Linked DNA regions of Lepisosteus oculatus. The protein of the gene in region 3 binds, or shares a complex with, the protein of the main gene of each other region. Links are inferred from orthologs where the notes say so. Each region holds a gene or a part of one and is shown on either strand. Other genes may lie near its edges.

Region 1 (7,717 bases), on a different chromosome or scaffold from region 3:
CTTTCTGTTTGTTTGTGTTTCAGATGCGAGTGTGTGCACCAAGTGCCCCAACAACTCGTGGTCCAATGAAAACCATACGTCCTGTCTTCTCAAGGAGATCGAGTTTCTCTCGTGGACCGAACCCTTTGGGATTGCGCTGACCCTGTTTGCGGTGCTGGGGGTTTTCCTGACCTCCTTTGTCCTGGGGGTCTTTGTGAAGTTCCGCAACACTCCCATTGTGAAGGCCACCAACAGGGAGCTCTCCTACCTCCTGCTGTTCTCACTCATCTGCTGCTTCTCCAGCTCTCTGATCTTCATTGGGGAGCCCCAGGACTGGACCTGCCGGCTCCGCCAGCCGGCCTTCGGGATCAGCTTCGTGCTCTGCATCTCCTGCATCCTGGTCAAGACCAACCGGGTGCTGCTGGTCTTCGAAGCCAAGATCCCCACCAGCCTTCATCGCAAGTGGTGGGGGCTGAACCTGCAGTTCCTCCTGGTCTTCATGTGCACATTCGTGCAGATCATGATCTGCGTGGTCTGGCTCTACAACGCACCACCCGAGAGCTACAGCAACCATGACATGGACGAGATCATTTTCATCACCTGCAATGAGGGCTCCCTCATGGCACTGGGGTTCCTCATCGGGTACACCTGCCTGCTGGCCGCCGTCTGCTTCTTCTTTGCCTTCAAGTCCCGCAAACTGCCAGAGAACTTCAACGAGGCCAAGTTCATCACCTTCAGCATGCTTATCTTCTTCATCGTCTGGATCTCCTTCATCCCCGCCTACGTCAGCACCTACGGCAAGTTTGTGTCGGCCGTGGAGGTCATCGCCATCTTGGCCTCCAGCTTCGGGCTCCTGGCCTGCATCTTCTTCAACAAGGTCTACATCATCCTCTTCAAGCCATCCAGGAACACGATCGAGGAGGTGCGCTGCAGCACCGCGGCCCACGCCTTCAAGGTGGCGGCCCGGGCGACGCTGCGGCGCAGCGCCGTCTCGCGCAAGAGGTCCAACAGCGTCGGCGGCTCCTCGGTGTCCACGCCCTCGTCCTCCATCAGCTTCAAGAGCAACGAGGACCAGGACCTCCCCGCAGCGGGGCCGCAGAGGGCTTGCAAGCAGACGGTGAGCTTCGGCGGTGGCAAGGTGATGCTCTCTCTCAGCTTCGAGGAGCCCCGGAAGAATTCCGTGGCCGTCAGGTACAGCCGGAGGAAGAGCTCCCTGGAGGGCAAGGACAGCGGCGACAGCCTGATGAGGCACAAGGCCCTGCTGCCCCTGCAGAACAGCGAAGCCCGGAGCGACCCCAGCTTCAGGACCGCCGGCAGCAACCCCTCCCAGGAAGCCGCCGGCGGGAGGAAGCAGGAGGAGGGCAGCACCGCTGACGACGCCGCGCCCTTCCCTTCCGCGAACTCTGCCGGCTTTGGGGCCAACGCGTTCACGGAGAACTCCAGCAACTCCTAACATCCTCTCGCGACGCCCTCCGCGCCCGCCCCCCCCCCCCTTCCCAGTGCTCTCAGAAGTAGGCTGAGGCCGCCTGGGCTGAGCCCGAGGGGAGCTCCTTTGCGGCGCTCACATTAGAATCACTTTTTGTAACCTGGAGCTGAATGTCTAGCACTGTGAGCATCAGACCGAGTTTATCTCCTGCTCCTACCGGGACGCGGACCTTTGCTATATCTGTTTGCGAGCTGACCCTTCCAATTGTTCTGCAACTCTCTGCCTCTGCTTTTTATTGAGGAGAAAAAGTACTAAATACTACAAGCACTAAGATCTACTGAGAAAGGCCCAATTAAAAACATGCAAAACGATTACACAGAAATGGTAACCCAGTTTTAGAGAGACGTTACCACTCTAATTACAAGAATACATTTTTCCTTATTTGTGTTTATATAAAACAAATGAATCTTAAATTCTTAAATTAATGCGACACTGCTGTTGTGCTTTTCGAAGGTCATTTGTGTGAGCCTTTCTGAACTGGGGTTTCAAGGGTCTGCTTAAAACACTTTTTTAAGATGATAAATCAATACTCTCCATAAATAAGTATATTTAGCATTTAAGGTTATTAAGGTATTTAACAATAAAAATTACTAGCTATAATAAAGTGCACATCAGTATCCATGTTTTTCAAATCTATTTTCATTCACTGAAATTTAGAATGATAGTTGCTTTGCATTAGTCACTTCTACTAGTGTTCTACACATTGTTCAAAAATAGCTTTTTTGAGCAATTAAGCCCCTCACATACTATAATTTTATTTGGTACTGTAATGTCATTGGTACTGAAAGAGGACAGAGGGTGAAGTATGAAGGGACTTTTTCATAACATTTATCAAGTATTTTCTACATAAAAATACCCGTTAAGGATTGTCCTTTTCTCCTTTTCTGCAAGTGCATGGTATACAGACAACAGATGAAATAGTGCAAACTTTTCGAATTGAGGCAGTTTACATTTGTGTGCCTGGTTTTAATCGTGATAAAGACCACAGACAAAATTACTCCAAAAACGAACATTGTATCAACCCATCAATTCACCAATCAATCAATCTTCATTCGCTGTAGCGCCCTTTGCAACAGTTGACCACAGAGGGCTTTACAGAATTATATTGTACAGCACCGGCTGACCCTGTGGGAACAGCAGAGACACAAAAACAGGTCTCAGGTCCAATGATAGCCCCCCCCACCAGGCAATAGATTAGCGGCACATTAATAATGCTGGGTCATTAACGATCTTTACCATGCCCAAGGCTGGGATACTGCTGTCCTCAGGTTGTTGTCAGGGCTATCCAAGAGAGGTCGCTAAGGTGTCCTGTGTCTGCTAGCATGTATCCGGTAAGTACAAACTGTGCACACTGTTCAATAGCAGACCCGTTTAACCTGTACCATTCTCTTGGATGCAGTGACGTCAGTGAATCTACAAGAACATTTGAATCTTTCATCTCTTTCCTATAAAGTTTTTGGGGACACTAAGCATAATTTTAGTTTTCCAGGAATGTTGGGTAATTGAATATATAGGGGCTAGCACTGCAGTGTACTGTGCATTCTCGGGTTAGGTGTTCCTGTTCTAGATTAGTCTTCACTGCTTGAGGAAAAAATTGCGCTTCTGTTAATGCTAGGGACGTTTTAGAATAGTCTGTATGGATCTAAATGTATTTTCATGTCATTATGAAAGCAGTTAATACTTATTCAACGCGGGCCCTGTTGTTTCATGTGAACTATAAATCTTTGGGCTTGATGTCAAATGTAACCCCTGTACGAAAGATTAAACAACTTTGTTTTAAAAGAAATGTTCTCTTGGGGTTTAGCTTATTCTGGATAATAATTCTATTCGCAGTACAATTACATGAAAAGAACACCACCCTGTGCTACACATAACTTTATTTTAGATAGAGCTACTACTCTCCCGGACTGATGTCTGTCTGTGTCGATACTCGTCCGTTTTGTCTCCATTATCTCGCAGCTGTGTCCAGCACAGGGCCGCTGGGTAGCCAGGGCCTGTCCAGGCAAGCTGTTGGCATTTAGCAAACATAAAAACTGGTACTTGAAAGCACCACATCTGTTTTTCGCACGGTGCTCCGCTTTCGGGGGGGGATGCGTGAGATACCTGGTTTTCCTCCCACCCAGACCCTCAGTTACCTCACCAAGGGTCTCATTGACCGCCTAATTGGACGAGCAGAAGTCTGCAGAGAGGCCCGCCGGCTCCGGCCCTTGAGGGGAATCACGCGTCTCTCCGGGCGCCCCCTGCTGGGCTCGGTGGGTGTGACTGAAACTCCAGCAACAGCGTGGGAGCTGCCGAGCCCATTCCGCACAGGCCAAGAAGAGACCAGGGCTACACGCACACGCACTTCAAAGCTGATTTCTTCCTGCCGACCGAGGGGGTGGAATTTCCCAACAGCGATTCCAGAATAAACACGATGACGATGGTTCACGTTGGATGGTACGAGCAGGGCGGCAAACGGATTATCTGGTTGACTTTATTGTAACCATTGCTAGCTTGGAGAATACGCAGTTTAACCACTGTTTCTCCTAACTGTAGCGACCATAGGTAGGAACAGTCATAGACAATGCTCACCCAGAATTACATTTAATCCGGCATTATTCCTTTTATTTTTCCAGCCAAATCCGGCCAGGTTATGCATTTATACAGCGTGACATTTTACGGCATTTGTACCATCATCCGCATGCAGAGAAAGTGTACAGTGTTTGTGGACTGCAATTCGCTTAATGTTATGTGATTAATACTGGCCTTCTAAAGAGAAAAGATTTTTAAAAAACATTTTTTAAGTCATGAAAAGAAAGTCCACATTATAGGCACCTCGTTCAATCAAACTGACCTCTGCAGCTAGCTACCAACTTAATTATTGTAATTAAAGCGATTCCCCTAATCGGTCATTCGTAGATCTCTACAGTGAGATGGACTCAAAAGACTGCACTAATCGGAAAGTCGTGGGTAGAGACTCCTGATCCTGCTTTGCATTTAGAACAGTTTTGTCTTCCAATCTGCGCAGTATCTGCGTAGAGCTGCGGGAATCTGCGCAACCAGGACTCGTCCACTCGCCTCACGCCGGCGTAGATAAAACCATCGGCGTGGGTGCAAAAGATGTCTCAGAAACGGATTAGGAGTTTGTTTTGTAAAGTATTTTACTACAATTGTGTTTATACCTATTTAAGTTCTGGCAATAGGTGACGGTTAAAGAATGTAATGTCAGTAAGCGCTCCGGTTTGTAATGGTATAATCTGACCGGAAGGTCACATGACCTGGGACCCAGGAAGTGAATGGTCGCTAGCGCCCAGCGCTTGTTTTTAGTAGTTCCCTGGACAGCTGCAGAAATTTGTTCCCTTGGTAAAGTACCGGTACAGTTTTTGGCGGTTGACTACACACACTCTTCAAGCTTCAGTCTTAGCCTGTAAAATCCCGATTTTTTTCTGCGTCTCCCTGCACACCAATTCGCTACAATTGCGGCTTTAGTAGGATCTAGGATGGCCGACGACGACGATGACCCCGCGGTGTGTATTTATCTTTTTTCTCGCCTTTTCACGCTCTGTGATACTTTTGTGATGTCTTCGATTCATTCCAGCCTCATAGAGCCTAGTGCTCATTTCCTTTCTCTTACTTCAGTGACGGGGGGAGACATAGGTGAAAGTTCGCCCGGGCTTGTTTCATTGTACTTGGTCCTGGGGTGATGACAATATTCATGCACATCGACACCGGCATTTGGAATTTCATGTTTTGTTTCCCTGCAGTGCTCATTTTAGAACAGTACTGGTTTAATACAAAAGAAAATGTTGTATTTAGGTTGGACTGAATGTTGAAGCTCAATTTAAAAACAAGATCCATAAATTAATTGCTTGTGTAAAGACAGCGGGCTCAAATTAGAAACTGCAAGTTGTGTCCACCAGCGAGCTTCATGGCAGAAAGGATTTGTCTGTCTGTACATGTTCCAAAAAGCTTAATTTTCGTGCACGTTTATGAGTCGCCTATTAGTATTTATAATGCAAGTCCCGTTTAAATGTTTAGTCAGAAGGCAGTGATGTGGCCAAAGCAGCGCTACCCTTGATTTTTATTAAGAAAGGGGAGTTTTCGACCAACCCTCCAGGCCACCGTCTTTTATTACAGATCTGCAGCAGCTGGTTGACCTCTTAACGCCGGTGATTTATGAAACGATGTAGTTCAGAGATCACCTGAAATCCAAATACCTGCACCCCATAGTTCTTGGGGATGCCAGTGGTTCATTCCTGAACCACTTAATGTACAGTATTGGCTCAACTGAAGAAAACTCCGGTGTTCTAAGTTCTTACTAAACCGGTGACTCTCTAACACCTGCTGGAGTTGGGCTCTGCAGAAGCCTGGGGTGGCCACAGAAGAGTATAGAACGTTTAGGTGTTACAGTGGTGTGTGTGTGTTTCAGATGAGCTCTGTCCGTGCTTTACTAAGAGTGACAGGAATTCCAGTGTGAAATGTGATTTTCCTCCTGGAAGTGAACTGGTCCCGTGCTCCGCTCTGTCTTGCAGTTCGAGGAGGATGTCGAGGAAGGAGGCAGCGGGGCAGAGGGGGGTCATGGGAGAAGGAAAAGGCTCTTCTCCAAAGAACGTGAGATTTTCCATTGGCTTCCCTCTGACGTCGCCTCGTGGCACAGGAGCTTGTTTGTTTTATACGCGAGACACGCATGTCCCGATTTAAAGCTTCATCCTTCTCTTTTCTGCCAAAAAGCAGTCAGGGCTCGTTTTACTGCTGTCAGCTTTAGTCAACAGGACAATTCTAAAGCTTCAACAGAATATTTTTGGGGGCCTCTGCTTAATGGGAATATTCGTGAAGTATTTACCTCAGCTATTTTTTACGTAAAAAACAACTAACAAAATTATAGAAATTTCCTCAGCTTTTTATCATAAAACTGCGAAATGCAGAGTAGTACCAGTGTACTTTTTCATATCAGAATTCCCCTCCTGCTGCAGTCGTCAGCAGTCGTAATGTGTTTTCAAAGGTGCTGTACCTTGTTGATAGTTACATACTTCAAGACTTTGATGTTATTTTTTGGGGGGTTCTTGTTTTTTCTTATCATCTTCTCTCTTGCTTTTGTCTTCATGTAGTAATAATAATAATAATAATAATGTGTGCCATTTCATTAACAATTGTAGCCTCAATTGCAGTTTTGTGTGGTATTATCTCCCTCACACGCAGTTCGATGCATGATGTATGGATTCGGGGACGATCAGAACCCCTACACCGAGTCTGTGGACATTCTGGAGGATCTTGTGATAGAGTTCATCACAGAAATGGTACGTTGTGAGCACAGCTGCTCTGTTCTGCCTAGCAGTGTGAGCCTGAGTTCGAAGGGTGAGCTTTGCAGATGAGAACATTCATTTAGTCGAGCTCTGGGAAGCAAATGGAGGTACAGAGGGTCCCTGTTATTAGTCACCGTAATATGCATCAATATTCATTGCTTCAGCTGTACTTCATCAGTTAATTAAGGAGCTATATTCATTTTGTTCGCACGATTATGCACTTTTTCAATGAACCAAAACCCAGCAATGTAGGCTGGCTGGCAGGCGCTGCAGTGTGCTGCGATGTGGCCCTCTGAACGCACTGCGAATGTACATATCGTATCTTTATATATTTGTTGGAATTGATGGGGAAAAAAAAAGTGTTGGTGTGAGGTTTAGTTCTATTCACAAGAGGCAATGTGTCACACTTCCACTTTCCAACATATCAATTCCATTTCCCTGGTAAGAATAATAACATTTGTCTCATCAGTTTTGATTTGTTGTTTTTATGGGTTTTAGGTACATTTTATGTAAATACATGTCTGAACTGATTGTGTTAGGAATGTATCTCAAGCTAATTACATTATTCCTCATGTATATTAATTCCTCTTTCTTGCTACAAGTTGCTTTATTTAGGAACCTGCACTTGTAGCAGGGGCCTCTGTAAGGGTAAATAAATTCTTCATATTACTCATGTGGAAGACATCTGTTCTCTGCAGTACTAAAACTCCACAGCATGTGCTATATAGTGCACTTCTGAATAATTTAGTTCGGTGTTTTCCAGTCCTACTCCTAGAGGACCACACACATGCTAAGTTCTGATCCAGCTGAGATGTCTGCTACACAATTGAACTCCTTAATTGACTTAATAACAGAATTAATTTGACCTGTGTGACTGTTTTCAGCTCTTGTACATGTTGGAGGTTGTCTTTGAACTATTGCATTTCATAAATAAAATTCCAAGCAAGATGAGAAAAAAATTGATTTTTTT
Region 2 (7,402 bases), on a different chromosome or scaffold from region 3:
CTTCCCCTGAAGATGATGTACTCGTAGATCTCGTCCCTGGGAGGCACTGGTCTATCTGTAGGGCGGCCCTCCGTCCCGAAGGATCGCACTAATCCAGGGAAGGACAAATGGCATTAAGACCGTCGGTTCCCACTTCATTACTTACACACAGGTAACAGGCTAGCACCTAACTCCTAAAATAATGACTATCCCGAAGTAACATTCTTAAGAACCAGAACTTTTTCTTGCTTTTACGCCGGTAAAACAATCTTTAACTTGCGAACTAGTCTCTTAAAAGAGATTCAAAGGTACCGAAAGGTAACTGGTTACTGGCGCCACCACCTCAAACGAGGATACAAACACCCCGCCTCTCAAACACAATCATTTCACGGGCACCTAAGAGCGTCTCTGTTACATCTCCTATAAATAAACACGAATAAAAAGGTTTGTAAGTTTCCACTGGAAGAAGGAAAGCAACTGGTACTCACCTTTAGCTAACGCCACGGTCGAGTTCTCCGTATCTATGGTGTACAAAATACCCTCATATCGGATCTGGGCCTTGGATATGAGGCCAATTTTGCTACCAAGGTAAGGTGTTCCGGTACTCATGGCCGGTATATATGTACTTCCTTTACCAACTTGTAATTTTCAAAGGAGATTTTTTTTTTCCTCCACTCCTACGTTCGATCTTTAATTGTAGCAATGTTAACTTGTTAAGAACACCGATCTTAAACATCAAACTCAGCCGAGTGATCCGCCGCCCCATCTCGCACGGTTTTATAGAGAATTCGGCAGAAGAGGCTGAAAACAATCTATCAATCAGACAGTCAGACAGACAGACAGACAGAGGGTGCCCCCTGCCGTTTGGAAGACAGAAGTAAAGACTCTAGTAATGTTTCGCGTTTTGCTCAATGTCGTAACCCCCAACTTTGCACTTGAGCCGTAATGCGGTATGTTGGCTATTGGCCCTTTTAACGATTAACTGTAGAGCAAAGATCCAAGGACAGCGTTAAGAGGAATTGCATTTAGGACAGAAACTAGCTGCTACTTCTTTACACAAAGCGTTGTGAAGATCTGTTACACAGCTAATAAATATTTCCTTACATTTATATAGCTCTTTGCTGGGCACTCCACTCAAAACGCTTTACAGATAATGGGAACTCCCCTCCACCACCAGCAAAAGTGATGGCAGACACATATCAGCTATGGAAGAGAACACAGTAATAAAGCCAATTCATAGATGGGGATTATCAAGAGGCAATGATTTGATAAAGGCTGGGTGGATTTTTGGCCAGGACACCAGGTTAATATGCCTACTCTTTTCATGAAGCGCCCTGAGATTTTTAATGACCACAGAGATTTAGGACCTTGGTTTTACATCTCATCCAAAGGAAGACGCCCTTTTACAGTCTAGCGTCCCCGACGCTATACTGAGGCATTAGCACCCACACAGGATGCAGTGTGAGTGCTCCCTACTGGTCCCAATAACACCTTTTCCAGCTTTCCCAGAAGGTCTCCCATCCAGGTATTGGCCAGTCTCAAACTTGTGGTTTGCCAGCTGTGCGTTGCAGGGTGATCTAGCTGGTATCTATAGCTGCCTCTACACGGAGTTGAAACACATTTCCCGATTCCTTATGAAAAGGATTTATGAAATCCCTTGGTAAATAGTAAGATGTTATCACCTAAGACAAATCAAACTGACTCCTAGCCTTTTTTAACCTCAATGTGTAATGGAGTTCTTCAATACAATTAAAATGTCTTAGACATTCATATTAACACTCCCAGTCTCACTGAGTAAATTGTATTCACACCATTTTCCTCTGCATGTAGGGAGATTTAGGGAGATGGTCGATGGCACAAAAAGATAGAGAACGAGTTTTAGAGAACCGCTCAGATTTTATAAGTCTCATTTTATGTATTGGTGACTCCACTGTAACTACTACATGACTTACTATGTAAGTATACATGTATAATAAGAATCTGCATCTCCTCCATCCATGTAATTTTTTTTATATAGCCAGCACCTACATTACTCTGCAACTCACAACTGACAACCCACTGAAGCTCAGCAGGTGTGAGCCTGGTCAGTACCTGGATGGGAGACCTCCTGGGAAAAACTAAGGTTGCTGCTGGAAGAGGTGTTAGTGGGGACAGCAGGGGTACTCACCCTGTGGTCCATGTGGGTCCTAATGCCCCAGTATAGTGACAGGGAGACTATACTGTAAAACAGGCACTGTCCTTTGGATGAGATGTAAAACTGAGGTCCTGACTCTCTGTGGTCAGTATAAATCTCAGGGCATTTCTTAAACAGGTTGGGGTGTAACCCTGCCCAAATTTCTCATTTGTCTCCTAATAATCCCCAGTAAATTGGCTTCATTACTCTGCTCTCCTCCCCACTGATAGCTGGTGTGTGGCGAGTATACTGGTGCACCATGGCTGCCATCACATCATCCAGGTGGATGCTGCACATTGGTGGTGGTGGAGGGGAGTCCCCATTACCTGCAAAGCACTTTGAGTGTCCAGAAAAGCACTAAGTGTAAGATAATTATTAGTGAAAAGGCACCAATCTGGTGTCAACTCTGTTAAAAGACAGATGACAATGCTAGGCGTGTTTGAGATCAAATAAGTATATACCTTTAGGGATAAAATGGACAAGCAGCCTTTCAGGTGTGTGTTTAGCAAACAAACAGTGAAAGATACACGACAACCAGTAAAAAACATTTTAAAGGGCTACAACATATTGAAGGAGAGACAGCTCACAGGAGAGAATACACCTATGTAATCCACGTGCTCTGTACATTTTCAGCTTCTTAGCAGGTTAGTTGCATATGATCTTGATTTTCAGTGTAGCTTATTCCAGTCCTGCTTCCTCTGGCAATGTCTTGTTATACAGACAATACACATCAAACCTGCGCTGAAAGATAAATATATTGAAGTTGCAGAACCCATTAAAAGTTCAAATTTTGACAAACAAAAAACCAGTGCACATTATTTTACCCCATATATCATTGCCAACCGATTCAGCTGAGGCTCTTATGCATTGCAATTTAAATTCAGACATTCATCTTCTTACTGCATTTAGCTTGTTTCCTGTATGACAATTTTATAAACAGTCCTGGTTAAGTGTCTAAGCAAATCAAGGAATAAAAAAATAAATAAAAAAGTGGTGTAAGCAAAAACATACCCGTTAATAAATTAACAATACAATAATCACAACAGTACAAGATAACTCATTTTATGTGGATTTATTTGTATGACAATTTTGTCCAAAGCGATCTACAAGAGGAAATGAAACATTACAAATCTTAATTAAATTTATACAAAATGTACAAATTCACACTGCAGGGGGAAAAAACCGAGCAGAATACGTGCTGCGAATTGGGGGCGTGAGCATTTTGAATAGATGGGAAGCAGGACGTACAGCTACAGCTTGAAGAGGTCGAACAAACGGAGAGAAAGGAGCAGCCCTTATTTTTACTAGGACTGGGAAATGATTCGGCTTCGAACAAGGGCTAAAGGAACTTTAAAGTCAGACACGGGAGACTGTCAAATCGACACCCCGAAAAGCCTGGCCGTGCTTCTCAGGTCGTAAATGGGAGCACAGGATAAAACCCAAGTTTTCCTCGGATGAAGCGTCTAGCTTGGGTACTGCCACCTTTCACTAACGCTTCACATCTCCGCTACGCGGGTGTAGCATCTCGGAGTCACGGTCTGTAAATAGTCTGTTTCATACAATGACAGTTGCACTGACATAAATATACTTTCCCCTTTTGTTTAGTGGCGGAGTGCAAGAATTCATTTATCAACAAACAAAGCCAGCCATGCCCTCTTACACTACCGCAACACAGGTCAGATACGATTCAAACAAAAAAAAATAATCAGTTCCGGTCTAATAAAGGAAACCGCTTCTAACTCGCACCCACCGCTGAAATACACTTTACAGTATTACAAGATAACCCCCCAGTAGTCTCGACAGCATGTACTACACGCTCTTGGCAGCACTCTCAGGTGTGGCGCCCTCACACACTCTCTGAACTTACTGAACAAAAACAACGCAGCCATCTTGAAACGCAAGTACAAAAAGCCGAAGCGCCAAAACAGAAAGTCTCTTCGATTTTTGCCAGATTCACAACTCCAAACCAGCATTAAAGACTCATAAACATCACTGCCTGTAATTTCCAGTTGGGTCCGTTATTTGCGTTAAAAAGTAACGCGGACACAGCAGCTTAATACTATTATACTTAAACCCCACCAGCTCCTCAACCGACGGTGCTGTATCATCCTCTACTTTCTCGATAATGACGCTTTCAGCCATTTGTCCCGCCCTTTAAATCTGGAAACAACCAATCAGAATACGCCGGAATCCCTATCCCGGTGACGTTTCACACCATTCGCGCGTGCGTGAGGCCGGGTAACCCCCCCTCAGCTCATAGCAGAGTAAGATGGCGGCGGGCTCCGATTTGCTGGATGAGGTTTTCTTCAACACAGAGGTGGACGAGAAAGTAGTTAGCGATCTGGTGGGGTCCCTGGAGTCTGAGCTAACCGGCTCGGGTCACGGGAACACCGACATAAGAGGTCAGGCGGTGGGGAACCACATTGCAAGCCCTGGGGTAGGAGGCAATGCCAGTGTCCAGGAGAGCAAATTGGGACTTGCACAAGATCTGGCAAAAGCAGGTAATGTAACATAGTAAACGTTGTTTTGGTTTTTTTCTTTTCTGTTTCCGAAAGAGAAAATGTAAACGAATGCATTCATTGCCATGCCTTCCAATGTGCTGTGATATTTTTCCCTCTCACTCTGGTTTGTTTCCGTTCCAACAGGGGCTGGAGTGCAAGGGGGTGTTATTAATAATACGAGGTCCCAGGGTTCAGATATGGATGCAACGACAGGGATCACATCATCGGCGGGGTCGGAGGCATCAGTGGGGCTCAGCCAAGGCAAAACTGTGGCTGTCAGTGCCATGGTAACCGCTGTGCCCAACCACGGAGCGGGCAACGGGAAAATCGGGACGTCTGCGGTGCAAACTTTGAATGGGAGTAATGTAGTAATGAACTCTCACAATTCAGGAAGTGCCGCTGTTTTCCCCGGGACGCCAGTATCAAGTGCTACGACTTGCAGCAGCAGCAGCAGCACTGCACCTGCTGTCACAGTTGTCAACAACGGACCTGGATCGGTTGTGAAAGGAAATGTAAACGCTGTTTTGCCTTCAGCCTCAAGCACTGTTATACAGACCTCTTTCGTGAACGCGCAGAATGTTGTTACTTCGACAGTGATCTCGTCTCAGGCGACAAGTTTGGGAAGCGGACCTACAGTGACTCTAGTGCGGCCTCCGATGCACACGACCGGACCGGGTACGACGCAGAATGGGAGTACGAACAGTACGGTCCTGACTTCGGCGGTCAGTGTAGCGAGCCTGCCCGCCCCGGTGGGATCTGGAATATCTTTACAGGCTCCGCTTTTAAACAGCAGCCCGTCGCCCGTGAGCGCCGGGGCGCAGGTGATCAAGTCGGAGTCCCCCAAAACTATCATCCAGACTACAGCGCAGGCAGTTGCGCCCGGTGTGGTGGCGAACGCCGGTAACTTGACTCTTGGTCAGCCTATGCAAAACGCCCTGCAGCCAGGACCTCCACCGCAGCCCAGTTCGGCCGCGGCTATCGGGAAGAGTCCGGTCTTGCAGAATGTAGCCAGGACTTCCACTCCGGGAGCAGTCGTGCCCGGTCCGGTCGGAATACGGACTATAGCTCCGCAGGTGTTGGCTCCCCGCCTGCCCCACGCACCGCAGAATCAGCCAAATATCCAGAACATCCAGCTGCCTCCAGGTAAGCCTTTAAAAGTTTGTTTTTATTATTGAACACACCAGCAATTCTAGGGGTTTTTTTCCCCTTGAAGAACTTTTAAGAGCTGTCCTTAATTCTAGACAGGATCCTAACTCCTTCATAACTTAATAGGGACTGAATCGCTTTTAGTTCATGATTAGCTCAGCGTCTGAAGCCCAAGACAAATTTCATACACACGCTGTGTAATTATAGTCACGGTCTTGCTCGAGTAAGTCAAGAGATTGCACTTTTTTTTTTTACCTTTTATCTTTCTCGATCATGTCGGTCGTTTTATTTTCATGAACGATAATGTGCGTCTCAAGAAGAGCGTCTGCTGATGCCCCTTTCGGATAAGTCTGTGAATATGTGTAATTTTAAAGTTAGGGAACTGAAAAAAAGCTTATTTATAGCCTAAAGACCGAAAAGCTAAGCTGGTATCCAAACGTTTTTGGTTCCAATGTGTACGTTTTATTAAGTACTCCGACTTTCTTTCCTTCTTAAAGTGGCTGCTGCCACTACAACCTAGCAAGTAGAAAGTTTGGCTTGGCAAGTCCTTAAACCGTGACAATTGATGAAATATAAACAAAGACAATGTATTTTGAAGTTTGTAGAGCAAAGGTCATTATTGCACGTTAACTGTGTGTAACAATCAAAATACAGCAGCTATTCATAAACCCGTTACGTGAATCTATCCAAAGCTGAGGCTGGTGTTTCTCTCTTGGAGAACTTTTCAGGAGAGAGGAAGTTTGAGCAGGAACTTTGCAACTTATCACTTTGCAAGATAAACCTCTCAGTAAACATAAATGGCAGTTTAATTTAACAATGTAGTAGTAATAAATGACTCACAAACTGTTAGAATCAGTAACACAGGTGGCAGAAACAGTGATGACTGACAGAAGCAGTCCTCTGTGTGAGGTGTTTATTTTACACTAGTAGACATGACTGAAGTTACCCTGTGTCCTCTGAGCTAATCAGTGTTCCTAGGACCTCTTGTGCCTTAGACAGAAAAGTGAATACTGTATTATTTGTCTGTATGTGTGTTTGTTTTTACTTTCTTCGGTCCTTTAAAATCTAAAGTGTTTAAAAGCTGCTTGTTGCCATTGCTCTAAAGAGATTAATGATTACAGTGAGAAAAAGTATTCAAAAGAGGTATGTAGGCCTTATGTGTAGTTAGCTCCACTGTGAAGAAAGTTTTTAACAGTAATTCAAAACCACAGTTAGTCTAGTTACTGCATCTGCTGGTTTTGTTCATTTTATTAACAATCTGCATACCTTCGTGAACAGTTAGCCCACACAGAGGCACTGACAGATTGCTTCGGTGGTCTCTGATTTTGTACCTAACTATGACTATTAAGCATGAAGGAGGCTTAATTTCAAGCAAGTTGTTGCCGTTGTTAAACTAAAGTCTGGATTAGCTGGTGTAAAAACGAAGTTCATGTATAAAGGGTTGTTTAATCCACCGACGTAAAAAAGAATAAAGTTGTTGGTGGCTATGCTAAACGCTCCAGCTCAGAAATTGTGGTGGAAGAAGATGTGATTTCAAACTGCCAGGCACACTTACTACTTCACAACTTCACAGCACTCGGGCTATATATTCACTTCTCTTTAT
Region 3 (7,297 bases):
AAGGAACAATAAATATACACATTTGATTTATGACACCAAAGATTACAAGTGTGCTAAGCCATTACGCTTGTTAATACTGTAGTTTTCACGTATATAGCATTTGGGAACGGAGGAGATCAGTCCACCTGTCACATGTAAACAACCATACAGCTTCTCCAGAAAGCCACTGTAATTACACTTCTCCATGAAATCTCCTCCGGCCTCCAGCCAGACAAACTGCACACTGAGTAAAAGTGGAAGAATCTGTGCAGTGTGGAAAATCAACCCGTGGAACCTGTCCCTGCCACCAGTGAAAGGCACGAGGTGGTACACATGACCCCTGAATAGACGTGTACAATAACCTGGCTACTAGTCTCCAGTACTGCAGTTCATTGAATTACAGAATTCTCCAGAATTACGGCAATCCTACAGAAGTACTGAGAGTTGTGCAATTCAGAATTATACTAATTACTTATACTGTATAAACATATAAACGTGTATGAAATGATTGACACAAATGAATAATACTATATTAACCGTGTTCAACTTTCTGGACCTCAAGTTGTTAATTGCACCACTGGTAAAAATACATTTAAAAAGGCACCTATTCACGTGACAGTTAGTGAAAAAAGTTACTCTAGTGTTTTGTAGCTAAGCATTAACTTCAGCACAGAAAATTAAATTCTCTCAATTACAGTTTCCTAGACCTACATAGATCCTACTGTAAACCTTGGGATCAATAAGAACAAAAGACACTTAAAAAAGCCAGTGAGCTAATGAGCACAGTGCTGTGTGACGTGTCAGTCCTCTCCCCATTTTTATGCATCCTCCCATTTCAGTGCCACATGTTCTGCAAAGAATGGGAACAGAACTAGTTTTAATAGTGCAGACCTGTCAACCAGAGCCAGCGGCAAAGGAGAAGAGTTAAAAAAGATGATTCATGGGGAGTAAAAACGAAAGGAAAAGGAACAAGGATGGCAGTATGAAGTCCTGTGAAACAAGAGGGACTTTTGTGAGAGTAGTCATTTGCAGAGAGAGGGGGTTTTGCTTCCTTTTGGACGAGTACTGTATTTTAAAATATTTTAGAAGGATACTTCCTAGAAGGCACGGTATCCTTCCCAGATTCCGTTCTAAAAATATCTTCAAGACCCCGAATTATTATAAAACAACAACAACAGATGGGTGTTAAAAGGATCTGGCTCCACTGTTAGGTGACCGTGACGCTGCTGCTTCTCCTGGCTGCGCTGTCAGGAGAATGCCTCTTACTGCCTCCCTCCCTCAAAGGCTGTCCCCCAGGCGTTTCCGCCTCCTGGCTGGGCACGGGAATATAGGGCTGGCCCCAGGGGGCCCCTCTCTGGCCCCTGCGGAGGAAGAGTGGGAGGGCATCCCAGGTGAAACTGACGTCCTTGAAGGCGTGGAGGAGAAAGATGCCCACGATGATGGTGAGGAAGCCGCTGATCGTGCCCAAGATGCCGTCCGCGGACATTTGGAACCACTCCTTGAAGAGGATGGCGGAGCAGGCCATGACCGCGGTAGTGAAAAAGACGTAGTAGATGGGAGTGACGATGGACGTGTTGAAGATGTCCAGCGCCTTGTTCAGGTAGTTGATCTGCGTGCTGATGCAGGCCACCAGACACACCAGCAGCGCCCAGAACAGGGGCTCCTTCAGCACCGGCTTCCCCGCGAACAGCTCCTTCGCGCCGATCCCCAGCCCCTTCACACAGGACACGGAGAGGGAGCCGATCGCCGAACAGATGAAGATGTAGACCAGCACATTCTTCTGGCCGTAGCGCGGGGCCACGATGAAGATCAGGACCAGGCTGCTCACAACGACGCACGCGGCGAACACAATGAAACCTGCAACAGGCAGAAGACAGCAGTTCTGTTAAAGTGAATAATCTGAAAGAAAGAAATCGGGCGCTCGCTCGGCAGCGATCACAGCTTTCAACATCCAGCTTTTTGCATCCCACTTCAGCTTTCATCGCCGGCGTCTTCCTGTGGCTCAAGCCAAAACCAGACAGGGCTGTGATCACTGACCACTGCCGGTCACTTAAATCACAAACTTCAAACTTAATTTCAGCCCAGTGAATTCCGGAGGGCACATTCACCCCCGAGAGACTGTGCAGGTGTGTGACGTACCGGGATCTTTCAGCTTTTCCGCCATGGAGCTCAGGGAGTCCACTTCCTCCTCCTGTGGGGCATGGATGACCATCACGGTGGAGCCTAGGATGCACAGCAGACACCCGATCTTCCCGTGAACATTCAACCGCTCGTTGAGGAAATAGGAGGACAGCACAGCGCTGAGGAAACAGGAAGGGTGAGAGGGAGCTCTTGGACAAAAATGAAAAATGAAAGTGCTAGCACCTGTCAGAAATGTAACAATCTTTCTTGCATATCTGTATGTTATTAAGAACACAGGTCTTTTTGTGATGTGTTGTAAGTGACCCTTATTAGGATGGTTTGATGGAAGGTACCAAGACCATACTTGAAACAAATATCGGAAAAAAGACTTTTTTTTATCCAAGCGATTTACCACTGTTTTCATCAAAATGGCACACGGGTAAAAAAAATACACAGAGAAATCAAACAGCTTTTGCAGACTGAGCTCGTGTGTGTGTCCTGACTCACCTCACCAGGACGCTCAGGGCTCCCAGCGGCGTAACGAGCGTGGCCGGCGCAAAAGCGTAGGCCGCAAAATTCGCAGCCTCTCCCACCCCCACTGCAACACAAGAGGGCAGAGCAGGTCAGGAGGCACGCCAGGGCTTCTGCCATGAACACACTTTTGTTTTCAATCACAGTACTTTCTTTCAGAGGGTTTGGGCCTCCAGTCTCTGGCAGAACATGTGTCTCAAAGATTTCCAGATTAAAACAACGTACAGGTGAGCTGCAACGTCATGACCCGTTCATAAAAAAATGAAACACACCCGAGTATCTGGACATAACGCGCAGCACAGAGCAATGTGAGAGGAGAAGAGAGACGAAAATGGCAGAGAACCGAAGAGCCAGAATGGTTCTGATCTGGACATCCCTCCGGGTTGTCAAAGCACCACAGACCACCACTGGGTCAAGCGCTGGTTTAAACAAAACAAAGGCATGATCTTGGAAAGAAGTCTCTGCTGCTCAGACACGTCTTTCCGTAGCTCTTATTACAGTAAATCATAGTGGAAATGACATTCCTGAATGCTTTTGAAGAGTCTCGAAAATAAACTGTAGGACTTGTAGAACCCAAAAGGACACAGACTTCACGACTTACTTGAAATAAGTCCTGCCCACCACAGCCACTCCTTGAGGTAGGCGTGTCCTCCTTGGCCTGCACAGGGAAGGACAAAACAAAATGCCTTCATCTCCCAGTGTCTCCCGCTGAACTGCAGCTTATCACCACTGACAGCATCAGTAGCAGGAGTACAGGTATGTTTCCTTCAACACTTGTTTTAGCTCATGTCCAATACACCGACTGAACCAGTTTTTCAACGCAATCTGGTTTTCTGTGACAGGTACAAACAACAAAACTGGGAAACAAGTTCTCCAGCATCAACCGAAGAAACTCACAAGTGGGAAAAGACATTCCATTCCAACAATAATACGCCATATTTAAACACAAACACACTGCAAAGTGAACATCTTCCTAATTAAATAAATTTCATATTATCAACAATGTGAAATTTTAAAGAGATGCAAGAATGTCTCACATTTTCCCAAGATATGATGTAAATGGGTGCGACGTATGCTGTAACTCTTCCTGACCAGGTCACAGAAGGAAGTGACAATGACAAGATGACAGAAATGATACACGGTGAAAACACAACAGTCTAAGTTTCACATCAATGGTTCACTTCCCATTCAGGTACTGCTGTTTGCGTTTTACAGTGTGAGCAGTTACATTTGCTGGTTGTCTGAGTAGTGTACTGTGCCTTGGGATAACAAAACACTCTGCTCAAGTCATGTGATTGGTATTTGAGTTATTTTCGGAAAAAAACTACTTTAAAACTGGGCTCTATTAAACAGCCTGGAGAAACTGAAACAAAAGTTACACAAGGCACAGAGATTACAACGACGAATCATGCGATCTAACAGTAAAGTCGACAGTAAACGCAAGGACAGTGAGTCCCGATAAGGTAAGACACAGTCGCAGTGTGGACACGTACCCGCTCGCATTGACCCCTTACTGGCCAACCGGAGGAGCCCCTTCTTCTTCAGAATGAAACTGCCCCCAATAAAGACACTGGAGCAGATGGCCAGGGAGAGGCCGATGTAGAAATTCACTCGGCTCGCAGCATCGATATCCATCTGTTGACAAATGATTCAAGAAAGTCTGATACTGGAGAGAAATCACAGCTGAGCTGAGATTTAAAAAGAAAGAGAGAGAGAGACGCCTCGATCTAAAACTCAACAGCTCAGGTATGACTGTTTCGTATTACATTTCGTTTTACTGAAACCTATCTGGAGATTGAATGCAGCGTCGTTGAAACAGGTCAAAGTCAGTATCTGCTCGTTTGTTGAGGGTGAGGTTGAGGTTTTTTTTTCTAAAAAGCAATCCGTTAATTCAGTTCTTACTGTAGCTATAATTCAATTTTCCAAGACGTTTATGTGATGTCATGGGACAGCTTTGTCATAAAACAATAAGTTATTTGTAGAACATGTACATAATTCAATTAAACCTATTCTGTAATAGGGAAAAAAACAGGAATTTACCTTGCAATCGTGCCCATAGACGCCTGATACAGAGCTCTGTCACAGGCCGGGGAAACCGCAACTTCCTCCATCAACCCGTCCTCTCCGTCTGCAGGTCCCCCAGCTCCGGCTGCCCGGAACCTTTCTTTCTCCTCTTCTGCCGCGAAGCACCGTTTTGAGCTTTCTTCTATTTTAATTAAGTAATATTATCGCTGAAGACACCGGAATCCGTAAGGCAAAAGGCGTTTAACCGAACTGTTGACTTAGTGAATGTGAGCCGTATTAAAACGACGAGAGCAAGGCGGACCCTTTGGAGAGCGGGAGTTGTTGTTTACAGGTAGTCTTTTCAAGAGAGTATCCGGTTGTGTTGTTGTGGAGGAGGAGGTACAGTTGTTGTTGGTAAGTTCAGTACGTATTTCTTGCGGGATACAGTAAGATTATATTTATGATTTTATTTTGCTGCCTCTAACTATATGTAACATATTATTTTAATAGGAGCCAGGGTGGTGCCGTTTATATAGTTTGTTTTTTAGTTTACTTTATTCCCTGCACTATTTTTGAAAATTTGCATCAAAATCAATACGTTAGTTGAAGCACAAACAATAAACAACGATATCTCATATCTCCTAATCGCTTCTTTCTCTGCGTAATAAAAATATCAATTTTCTTTACAGAGGACTTCGTATAACGCAAGTGTTTATGCAGAATAAGAAGATCAAAATGACTTCCAAAGCAAAAGGTTCGACATTTCTTTCTGTGCACTTCGTTTACCTGTACATATTTATATCCGGATTTATTTAAATTTCGCTTAGATGGTGATGCTTAGTTAAGTCGATTTCATTACAAAAAGACGCCCTTAACTGTTGATGTCTTGATTTGTTCTCCTCCAGTGGGAAAGGCAGGCTCCAAAAACAAAGACGACGCGCCTCATGAGCTGGAGAGCCAGTTCATACTGCGGCTGCCCCCGGTACGGAACCTGAACCTCTCCGAGATCGGAGATGCCGAAATCGACCTCATGTAGTTTCCATTGAAACGTCCTCCTGTTTTTTTTTTTTTTTTTTTCATGTAGGAATACGCCTCCACGGTTCGGAGAGTAGTGCAGTCTGGTAGCGTCAATCTGAAAGACAGACTCACCATTGAACTGCACGGTTCGTACCCTGGAAGAGTTCCTCGATTGCTCAGATATTACGGGACTTAATCACTAATAACCGCATGTCTGGATGTTGCACTGGCTTCATCGTTCACTGGATCGCAACAAACAAACTGGGTCGAGATACAGACGGAATAATCTGGCATATTCGACCATTTTCTAGACCCGATTTAAGGGCTAAAAAAAACAACACCGAAATGACAGTTGTAATACATGTGTCCCTCTACGGCGTCCTTATTATATTAATAGTTCTTACAGTTAGGTAACTTGATATCTAGGTCAATTTCAGGTGTTAAGACACCATACTGTATGTACTTAAAGAATCCTACACCAGCTCCTGAAAATGTAAAGCTTGTTCTTATGTTATGGTGGTCATTTTATGAAGTCTTATTTCTTTCCCAGTTATGATCAGTTGAGTTTGTGTTAGAGAATGCATTTCTCTGAAGTTACAACAGCTTCAACAGTTGTGGCCATGTGCTTTCACGCATGATCTCAAAACGAATGACCCCTCTGTGCAGCTGACGGGCGCCATGGGATCGTGAGAGTGGATCGCGTTCCTCTGGCCTGCAAGCTGGTGGACCTCCCCTGCATTATAGAGTCTCTGAAGACAGTGGATAAGAAAACCTTTTATAAGACTGCAGATGTTTGTCAGGTAAGAACGAAACATTCAAAGGCATACTGTGAAAATTCATGTCTAGTTTTAAAATGTACACTTACTTTGATGCAATTAAGTTTTAAACTAAATTTCAATTTTATTAGGCTATATGCACAGTATTATTTTGGATCTGTTTTCCCTTATTTAAGTGTGATTGATTTTATTTGTTCTCCAATGTTTAATTGTAATTTTTCTGTAGCATTTTTTCACAAATCCTGGGAAGTAGTCCCTTCCTAGTTATCTATCTAGTTATTCAGTTATGAGTGGCTGACGCTCTTTGTGTTGAGCTGTTCAAATGAATATTGTATGTACACAGATGCTGGTGTGCACAGTGGATGGAGACCTGTACCCCCCTCTAGAGGAACCCACAGGAACTACAGAGCCCAAGAACAAGAAGAAAGACAAAGATAAAGACAAGAAGTTTATATGGAACCATGGCAGTGAGTATCCACCCTGCTCGCCTCGTTGCTTTAAAACGTGTTGTTCCTTGTTTTTTCAGAGGCAGTATTATAATGAGCCTGGTAACAAAATAGAGTTTAAATACTTTGAAATTAAGTTTCAAATACGAGACTTAAGATGTACTGTAGCAAGGCAGTATTTTTTCTTTCGTTAGCAGTAGTTCTTCTGTGGGTTTATGCAGGTAGGTGGATGTGTTTGCGCTGAGCCTTTTCAGAGCTTCCTGAAGATTTTCAAGTGACTGTGAACGGCTGTGTCCATATGAACAATAATAGTCGTCTTTGGTTTTACTGTCTAGTCACTCATCCCTTGAAAAACACCAGGAAGAGAAGATTCAGGAAAACTGCTAAGAAAAAGGTAAAATTTAATGTAAAATACCCCCAAAA
Region 4 (7,988 bases), on a different chromosome or scaffold from region 3:
CCACTCAAAGCGCTTTACAGGTAATGGGGACTCCCCTCCACCTCCACCAATGTGCAGCATCCACCTGGATGATGCGACGGCAGCCATAGTGCGCCAGAACGCTCACCACACATCAGCTATCAGTGGGGAGGAGAGCAGAGTAATGTAGCCAATTCATAGAGAGGGATTATTAGGAGGCCATGATTAGTAAGGGCCAATTAGAGAACTGAATAACTTCTTTTATTTAACCAGGTAAGTTAATCGTGCATTTGCAACGCTGACACGAGGAGAGGTCTTCCTGGTGCAATCTGAGCACTATGAGGGCAAGTACAGTATCCTGACAGCTCAGAGCAGAACGTGCCCCGAATCCAGGAACACCTCACTGCCAGCCCCAGGGGTGAAGCGGTGAAGCGGTGAAGCCAGGTTCCTTGATAGCTGACACAGTCAGGCAACATCGGAGTTCATCAACAACGAAGAGCTGCAAACCGGAGGAAGCCATTCAGCCCAGCTGGCCCTCTTGGCTGTTACTTGATCCAAGAGTCGCATCCAGATGCTTCACCAACATGGCCAGGCAGCATGAAGCCTCAGAAATGAGCACAGACAGCAGAGACAGGCATATCGAAAGAAGCCAGCAGGGTATCCGAAGGAAATAAGGAAATAACGTCCTTCGGATGAGATGTAAAACCAAGGTCCTGACTCTCTGTGGTCATTAAAAATCCCAGGGTGTTTCTCGAAAAGAGTAGGGGTGGAACCCCGGCGTCCTGGCCAAATTTCCCATTGGCCCTTACCAATCATGGCCTCCTAATAATCCCCCTCTATGAACTGGCTTCATCACTCTGTTCTCCTCCCCACTGATAGCTGGTGTGTGGTGAGACTACTGGTCACTATGGCTGCCGTCGCATCATCCAGGTGGATGCTGCACACTGGTGGTGGCGGAGGGGAGACCCCATTACCTGTAAAGTGCTTTGAGTGGAGTGTCCAAAAATTATGATGTAAGCAATTATTATTAATTATAATTATTATAAATATACTGCAAACTTGTGGATTTTTTCTGGTTTTCAAAACGCCAGGGTAGGCCCCCCTGACGGGGGGGGGGGGGGGGCTTTTCTTTGTGACCTCAGGCTCACTGAGAGATAAGACGCCTGTTTATTCGGTTTCGTTAATGATTGAATTCACTTCACCCAGTGTGAAAAACCTTCAACGCTGAACACAACCCACGCACCGCCGACCTCCAATGCCAGGCTAAAGACTCACACTGCCAAAAGCAATCTCGGGGCTTTAACTAAGACTCTAGTTTCTTTTTTACTTCAGAGTTCGTATGTGCTCCCACTGTTGGGGTGGGTTTCCTCTGGGTAATCCTGTTTGCTCCCACAGTCCGCAGACCAGACTGATAGATTAACTTAACCGGCCTCTGGGAAAGTCGGCCCTGGTGTGAGTACGTGTGATCGCTGCCCTGTGACGGACTGGCATCCCATCCAGGATGCACCTGGATTGTGCCCACTGCTTGATGGGATAGGCACCGGCTTCCCCCACACTGGAAGAAGCGGTGGGCAAAGTGGACGGATGGACAGTCCAGCCAGAAAGGGAAGCACGGCCACGTCAGGCCGGATCGAGATGGAATTCCAGTCCCACGTGCGCGCGCGCATTCTCCGAGCGCTCTTCCCCGCAAAAGCACGTTCGCAAGCTGGCTTGTTGTCAAAGCGCGCACGAGAAGCCGGGCGAGGAACAGGCACATTCCAGAGCAAGGCAGACTGCTGCGCTGAGGTGTCTCAACGCGGCATGCCTGAGCACGCTAGGGAAGGCTCTCTCTCCAACCCTCCTCCCCCCACCCCCAGCCAGTGAGGAGACGGAGCGAGCTCGGCACTGTTCGGCCCCATTGCCCGCTTCTCCCGAGGCCCGGCGGCTCCGTTAATCCCCGTCCTGACTGAAACCGCAGTCCCGACGCGCGCGCCGCGGAGTAAGCAAAAAAGCAGAAGGCCCTTCTTCACAGAACGCCTTTCCAGCGCTTGACTCCGTGATCCTGCCCGAAGAAAAACGGCCAAGGTGGGCTGCCTGCTGTAAAGTCGGGCACCGGGGCCCTAGAGAATCAGCAGAGGCCTGGCACTTGGGCACAGCGGGCTGGGCACTCGGAAGTGCCAGGCGGTTGTGGAAACGCAGGCTCAGAACACACACACGCCGCACAACCACAGAATCTGAAGCCAATCTGCTCAGGAGCAACGACGTTATTCTGTACCGGGGCTAAAAGAAGAGCCATGGATTGGACTGTGGGCAACACGGTGGAGCAGTGGTCAGCATTGCTGCCTCGCAGAGCTCTGGGTTCAATTCCAGACTCGGGGTGCTGTCTGTGTGGAGTTTGCGTGTTCTCCCGTGTTCATGTGGGTTTCCTCTAGGTGCTCCAGCTTCCTCCCACAATCCAAAGACATACTGGTAGTTAACTGGCTCCTGAGAAAACTGGCCCTGGTGTGTCTGCCCTGTGATGGACTGGCATCCTGCCCAGGGTATACCCCACCTTGCACCCATTGTTTGCCACGATAGGCTCCAGTTCCCCCAAGACCTTGAATTAATTGGATGAAGTGGTTAGGAAATGGACAGATAAGGTGGCACAAAACACACACATCACTTCGCAGTTTTGATTTCTCTAAGCCCATGTTTTTCTGATGCTATGCACTTTCACAGCCAAAGCTTGGTAAAGTTCAGCAAAGACTTACCAGCCACACAGTCACCACAGTACTGGCACCTGGGAGCTAGTCCCAGCTGATCCAGTGCCATGAACACTGGCCATATAAAACTCCAGTGAATTTAGCAACATTTCTGTCTGCAGAGTGGTTCAGTTCTCATAGTATCGTCATATACCACCTGGTCCAAATATCAGCCCTGCACACTAGTCTGCCTGACACACAATGGTAAGCATTAAAAAAAGGAACACGCCACGCAGACCTACAGTATTATGAGCTGACCTGAACTACTGAATCCTGCATATGGAAACTTGAACAGACAAGCAGATGTTCCTGCACAAAATCCATTCGCATATTTACAGGTGAGAGGAGGCTAGTCACTCGATCGAGCTCGTTCGGTGGTTGCAAATTGATCCAAGATCTCACCCGGTCCTTTCTTTAAAGAAGCCAGGATGTCGGCTTCAACAATATGGCTGGGCAGCCTACTCCAGACACCCGCCACCCTTTGTGTAAAGAAGAGCCTCCTATTCTCATCTTTAATATTTTAGGTCCTTCGCTTCGGCGCTGTACCGGTAAATGCACATCGGTCTGACAGCTACATGCTTCACTTCAGCAGGGGACTGCATTATTAAAGGCAAACAGTGTTGCTCTGGTTTTTAAAATAACGGCTTTTTTCGCCAGCCGTTGATCTCAGAACCTTCGTCTTCTTTGCCTCTGAATTTTTGGCAGGACTACCCTTCATCACAAACACTACTACGGTTCGTGTATTTTCTGAATTTAGAAAGCCTGACCAAAACCACACTACGGGATCAGGATTTGGGAACGAATAAAAACTGGATGAAAAACACAGCTGGGGTTAACTTGACATGCCCGAAGATTTGAATCATTAAACTGGCCGATTAATCAATATTGACGGGGTACCACAGAACACGATTATTTCCGAAGGCCTGATGTGCGGTTTTTTTTCTTTCAAGTCAAACGAGAGGAGAGAAAAGATCGCACTTAAAGCAATGATGCCCAGTGCTCTGAAGGGAAATCGCGTAGACATGCGGAGCTCTGAGGGTGGGCACGCAAGGGGTGTCTTCCTCATCCGAGTTAGTTACTTTAAAACACATGCTAAGGTCATCATTATCTTCGCTCATGGACGCCTGCCAGCCATTGATCGAGCCGAGCAGAGCTCTCCAGAGCCTACAAAGTGCACTTCAGCTTTCACTTGTCGGGGGCCGGGCTATGCCGGGGGCCACTCGAAGCGCATGACACCGCCGAATTGGATTTCCGATTAAGAGGGTTTTAATGTAATTACATCAAGTACCGCGCAGCATGTCAGGACTAATTTTACGACGCATCAAGTCGATGTTTACGGAGTGTGAGTTATCTCCGCCCTCCGCCCATAGATGCGCTATAACAGGAGTCATAATTTCTTTTACCGCGTTCCCCTTTTTATCAGATAATTCATTCGGTCATCTTTTCGGGGGAGGTAACCGATGAAACGAGAGGAGGTAGCACCTTCATACAGTAACAGCTTTACCATCTTTAGTGTTTTTAAATCTTCTTTCAGGGACACTACTTCCAAACCGTTTAAAAAAACGGTTACCAGAACAGTAAAAGGAAAAGGGGTCTTAATGACTTAATGACTCTTTCGACATGAAAATCTTAAACGAACCTTAAATTGTAAGCGTTAATTTGTCTGAAAGGATTTCGTAATCGAAGCCTGTATCTATATATAGACATCGTCAAGACTCGCCATTGTAAAGATGCTTTGTGCAATATAGCGTTAGGCAACTGTACGGTTTTAAGAGGCACATGCGTTCGGCTATTTCCGTCAGTGTCCAGATTAAATTATTACAGATTAGGAGGAAACACAGTTACTGAAGAACAGACGCTTAAAGAACCACTTAACAGACACGAAAACGGCTCTCTTTCCTTATCAGAAATGAATTTCGCTGCACCCTCGTTCAGCTTCTCCGATTTAAGTTTCTGATGAAATTAAACTGCAGTTTTCTACCTCCTTTCAATGTTTAATTACATTTTCTGCAATTAAAAGAGGTGACGCGTTAGCTGCTTGGAGTTAGGTTTCGAAGTCAGGTCGGTGACACACGCCTGCAGGGTGGCTCAGCTCCGCGCTTGCTAAGGCTGTGAGAGACTACGGGCGTCTTTTTTAAATGCACACTGTTCGTATTTACAGTACACATCTCGCCGAGAGCGCTCAGGAGAAGGAGGAGGAGTGCAATTCACACATGCTGGACTACTAGGAGTATGAATGACCGCAGCACGGACAGCTCCTTGCACGCCGGACGCAGTGCCCCTCTCCACACCCTCGCCCCTCCTGCGCGCCCAGGTACCGCGGGGGAGTCCAGTCCACCCGGCCCGCGCACCGGTGAAAACCCACAGAACAGAAAACGTTTCAGTCCCAGATTTCACGCGTGGAAAAACGAGCGGCATCGTAGACGTTTTCGCGTTGTTTACTGATATTGTTTTAAAAAAGATGCAAACTCGAAAGTGTGCACAAACAACACGAAACCACAAAACAAACGACCGGGGAAGCATATACAAAACAGCAAAACAGCGCAACGAAGGCAAAAATAATCATGACCTATTTCTTGGTCGGTGTCTGATATGTTAAAGGGATTATAACGTCTCTTCGTGTTGTGACGCTCTTCTGTTGTCTCTTGTATTTTTCATCAGCTTCATGGGGAAATAATTGTCAGGTGTTCTTAATATCGCACGTCAAAATTAATCGAAGTGGGTGCCTTGCGATCAACTACACAAAAGAAAAAAATGACAGTAGCGATATCTTGCGACATCTGCATAAACCCAACCAAATTTGTCACACGTTTTTCCCACGAACTGATTTCGAGCATATCAAGCGCCAAACAAAAGACGGATTCCCTTGCAGTGTGCACCAGCCCGTAATGTGTTATTAAACATGGCGAGGTAAGGAAAGGGAGGTCGACTTCTTGAAATGTGGAAGCAAATATTCAAAGAATGTTTGCCCGGCGCAACCCGATAGCAAAGGTGTGCTGAGGTCCGCGTCAGAGACAGGAGAGTTGAGGGGAAAAAAATATTTGCAAAGACGTGGGCTGAACTGGGTCTATCAGATCGTTTGTTATCGGCTCAAAACTGTATTTGTCCAAGAAAAAAACGATTAAATCTTGGGGGGTGTGCTTTGGACACCCAGGGTTACGCTTAGGCATTCTGAAGACTCACTCTTTCACCCACTCAATAATAATCTTCAAACCGCGTTTTGCACAAACCCCCCCTCCTCCTTCTCTTGCTTTCCTCCTCCACCCGGGCCGGACCCCTTCTCCCTTTCCTTGTACCTGCACCGGCAGGTCCGGTCTTCCCCCCACCTCTCACCTGAGCAAACTCGAAAGCGGGTGAGATGAGGAACTGTGACCGCCGCCTCCTCCGCCGCCGCTCCCTCCGCCTCCCGAGGACCCTCCACCGATCCCCGCCGACTGCCGCTTGCCGGATAGCAGCTTCTCGACGGCGGCCAGATTCCCAGTGCGGGCAGCCTCCAGGAGCTCCTGCTCCTTCCCCATCTCGGCTCGAGAATGGAGCCAAAGAGGGAGGCACACGCAAGGCAGCGGCTCAGGCGATTCCCTTTCAGCCTGGTGTCCCAGAGGCCAAGACGCGTATCCAGGCTCCAACAGCAATGCTCCCACTGACAATAATCCTCCACAGTTGATCGATGTTTTTCCTCGCGGCAACTCGCGCCCCGGATCCCTGCTCCACTCCGCCGCTCCAGGGAAAGTTTCTTTCAGCACCACCACCGGCCAAACTTCCTCCGACTGCCCCCCCGACACGTCACTTCCTTAGGACAGCCTCCTCCTCATGATGTCATTTGGTTACTTTCCAACGTCATTTCACAACAGCCCCATTACCCCATACCTGGTACAACCGGTAGTGAAATCCTATCACCCACTACCTCCCCCACAAGTCTGGATTTAAGTCACTTTAATAATGCGCTGAGAATGCCAAGAATTGCAAGACAATCGCATTTCGTTTTAATGCAGCTCAGCACAAAGAAATAAATATTCGTATCAGTTTCTTTGTGTCGGAAACAAATCAGATGTAACACGTTAAATGTATCAGAATGTATTTAGATGTGTCTACAAATTAAAGGAACTACCAAACACGAGAAAACAATATTACCACATACACTTCATTAACTATAACGGATATCCGCTATTAACAAGTGTAAGTCAGATAGGGCTGTTCAGCCTGCAAATACTGAAATAAATTGATATGTGGGGGACTTTTATTTGGGTGGGCAAAATTGCGGAGCATAGCACGCGTGGGCTAGAGCCCTTAAGTGTAGTCTAAGAGGCTGTGGTTTTTGCTTATGTAGACGTTATCTCTGAAGCCAGTAATGGAGCTGAATCCTAAACAGGTTGAGCTTCTATTTGTGAGAAATACATTTTAATCGACACGGTTTGTTCCAGGTATAGCTCGTGAAATGGATTTTGTCGGGTAGGGTGACTTTAAACTCTCCTGCCCCACCCAAGCTCAGTCCTGGTACCGACCTGCCTGGATGTCGGATATTCTTCTGTGCTGGGGTGTCTTCTCTGTGGAGTCAGCAGGTTACTCCTGTGGGCTGTTGCGTGGTGTGCCTGCCAAGTTAGACTTAGGGTAGGAGAGCAAAAAAATAATCAATTGCTTATTTACAGGAGGCAACTTTATTTCCTAGTTTTATATTTAACCGTTTGTTATGTTCTCCTAAAATGTATTATCCAGATAATGGAATTTGAAGGCTTTGCCCTCCTCCGCACTAAAATTCCGTTCCCATGGTTAATTCCTGTAGTGCAGTTCCATAGTCATATGTAGAAAAGCAATATTTGAATACAGTCTGCTGAGTTTCAGACAGCAGCTTCCTTACTAATGCAGTTATGGCACTGATCAGGTCACTTCACTTCAAATGCGGTTGTTCATTAAAAGATTCTTCATCTTTTTCTGTACGCCCAGCAAACCCAACACCCCTGGCAGACCAGCTGTTTCTTGCGTTTTCTTCTCTTCCCGGGTCGGGATCTCAATATGTTCTGCTCTTTGTTCAACGCCATGACATTTACGGGACCGTTTAACTAAATGTGTTTCAAATTGGCCACATGCTCTCAGCAGAGTTCTATTTGCTACAATTACAATATATTTGTATTTTTTTATAATCACGTGTCACTCGTATTAGACCTAAACTGTTCATATGAAACATTTTCAGATTAAAAAAAACACGTTTAGGCTATTGCTGATAGATTATATCACTTTCAACACATAAAAAGCGAAATCCACACTAAATGTTATGGCTACGGTTGGTTTATGTATCCTCAGATATCTGATATT

Evidence for each region.
Region 1: taf7 (region 3) and taf13 share a complex: the UniProt entries of both Homo sapiens proteins name them as parts of the TFIID basal transcription factor complex. The link is inferred for Lepisosteus oculatus from reciprocal best matches to the Homo sapiens genes TAF7 and TAF13.
Region 2: taf7 (region 3) and taf4a share a complex: the UniProt entries of both Homo sapiens proteins name them as parts of the TFIID basal transcription factor complex. The link is inferred for Lepisosteus oculatus from reciprocal best matches to the Homo sapiens genes TAF7 and TAF4.
Region 4: taf7 (region 3) and taf11 share a complex: the UniProt entries of both Homo sapiens proteins name them as parts of the TFIID basal transcription factor complex. The link is inferred for Lepisosteus oculatus from reciprocal best matches to the Homo sapiens genes TAF7 and TAF11.

What each region holds. Positions count from the first base shown.
Region 1 is NC_090700.1:3,894,723-3,902,439, reverse strand, and holds the start of taf13 (transcription initiation factor TFIID subunit 13), read left to right. Parts: upstream 1-4,707; 5' UTR 4,708-4,944; coding exon 4,945-4,971; intron 4,972-5,976; coding exon 5,977-6,055; intron 6,056-6,643; coding exon 6,644-6,741; intron 6,742-7,717. Other genes in the region: casr (extracellular calcium-sensing receptor), read left to right, coding at 24-1,432. UniProt on the Homo sapiens protein: The TFIID basal transcription factor complex plays a major role in the initiation of RNA polymerase II (Pol II)-dependent transcription.
Region 2 is NC_090711.1:8,524,191-8,531,592, reverse strand, and holds the start of taf4a (transcription initiation factor TFIID subunit 4), read left to right. Parts: upstream 1-4,401; 5' UTR 4,402-4,421; coding exon 4,422-4,653; intron 4,654-4,797; coding exon 4,798-5,796; intron 5,797-7,402. Other genes in the region: lsm14b (protein LSM14 homolog B), read right to left, coding at 1-88, 468-588. UniProt on the Homo sapiens protein: The TFIID basal transcription factor complex plays a major role in the initiation of RNA polymerase II (Pol II)-dependent transcription.
Region 3 is NC_090703.1:50,850,234-50,857,530, reverse strand, and holds the start of taf7 (transcription initiation factor TFIID subunit 7), read left to right. Parts: upstream 1-4,280; 5' UTR 4,281-4,377; intron 4,378-4,671; exon of another isoform or gene 4,672-4,878; intron 4,879-4,959; exon of another isoform or gene 4,960-5,049; intron 5,050-5,324; 5' UTR 5,325-5,349; coding exon 5,350-5,389; intron 5,390-5,540; coding exon 5,541-5,617; intron 5,618-5,719; coding exon 5,720-5,798; intron 5,799-6,318; coding exon 6,319-6,452; intron 6,453-6,771; coding exon 6,772-6,895; intron 6,896-7,209; coding exon 7,210-7,268; intron 7,269-7,297. Other genes in the region: magnesium transporter NIPA2, read right to left, coding at 1,187-1,836, 2,119-2,279, 2,608-2,698, 3,233-3,289, 4,125-4,266. UniProt on the Homo sapiens protein: The TFIID basal transcription factor complex plays a major role in the initiation of RNA polymerase II (Pol II)-dependent transcription.
Region 4 is NC_090700.1:29,936,037-29,944,024, reverse strand, and holds the start of taf11 (transcription initiation factor TFIID subunit 11), read left to right. Parts: upstream 1-4,970; 5' UTR 4,971-4,992; intron 4,993-6,011; coding exon of another isoform or gene 6,012-6,196; exon of another isoform or gene 6,197-6,621; intron 6,622-7,988. Other genes in the region: ankyrin repeat and SAM domain-containing protein 1A, read right to left, coding at 6,012-6,196. UniProt on the Homo sapiens protein: The TFIID basal transcription factor complex plays a major role in the initiation of RNA polymerase II (Pol II)-dependent transcription.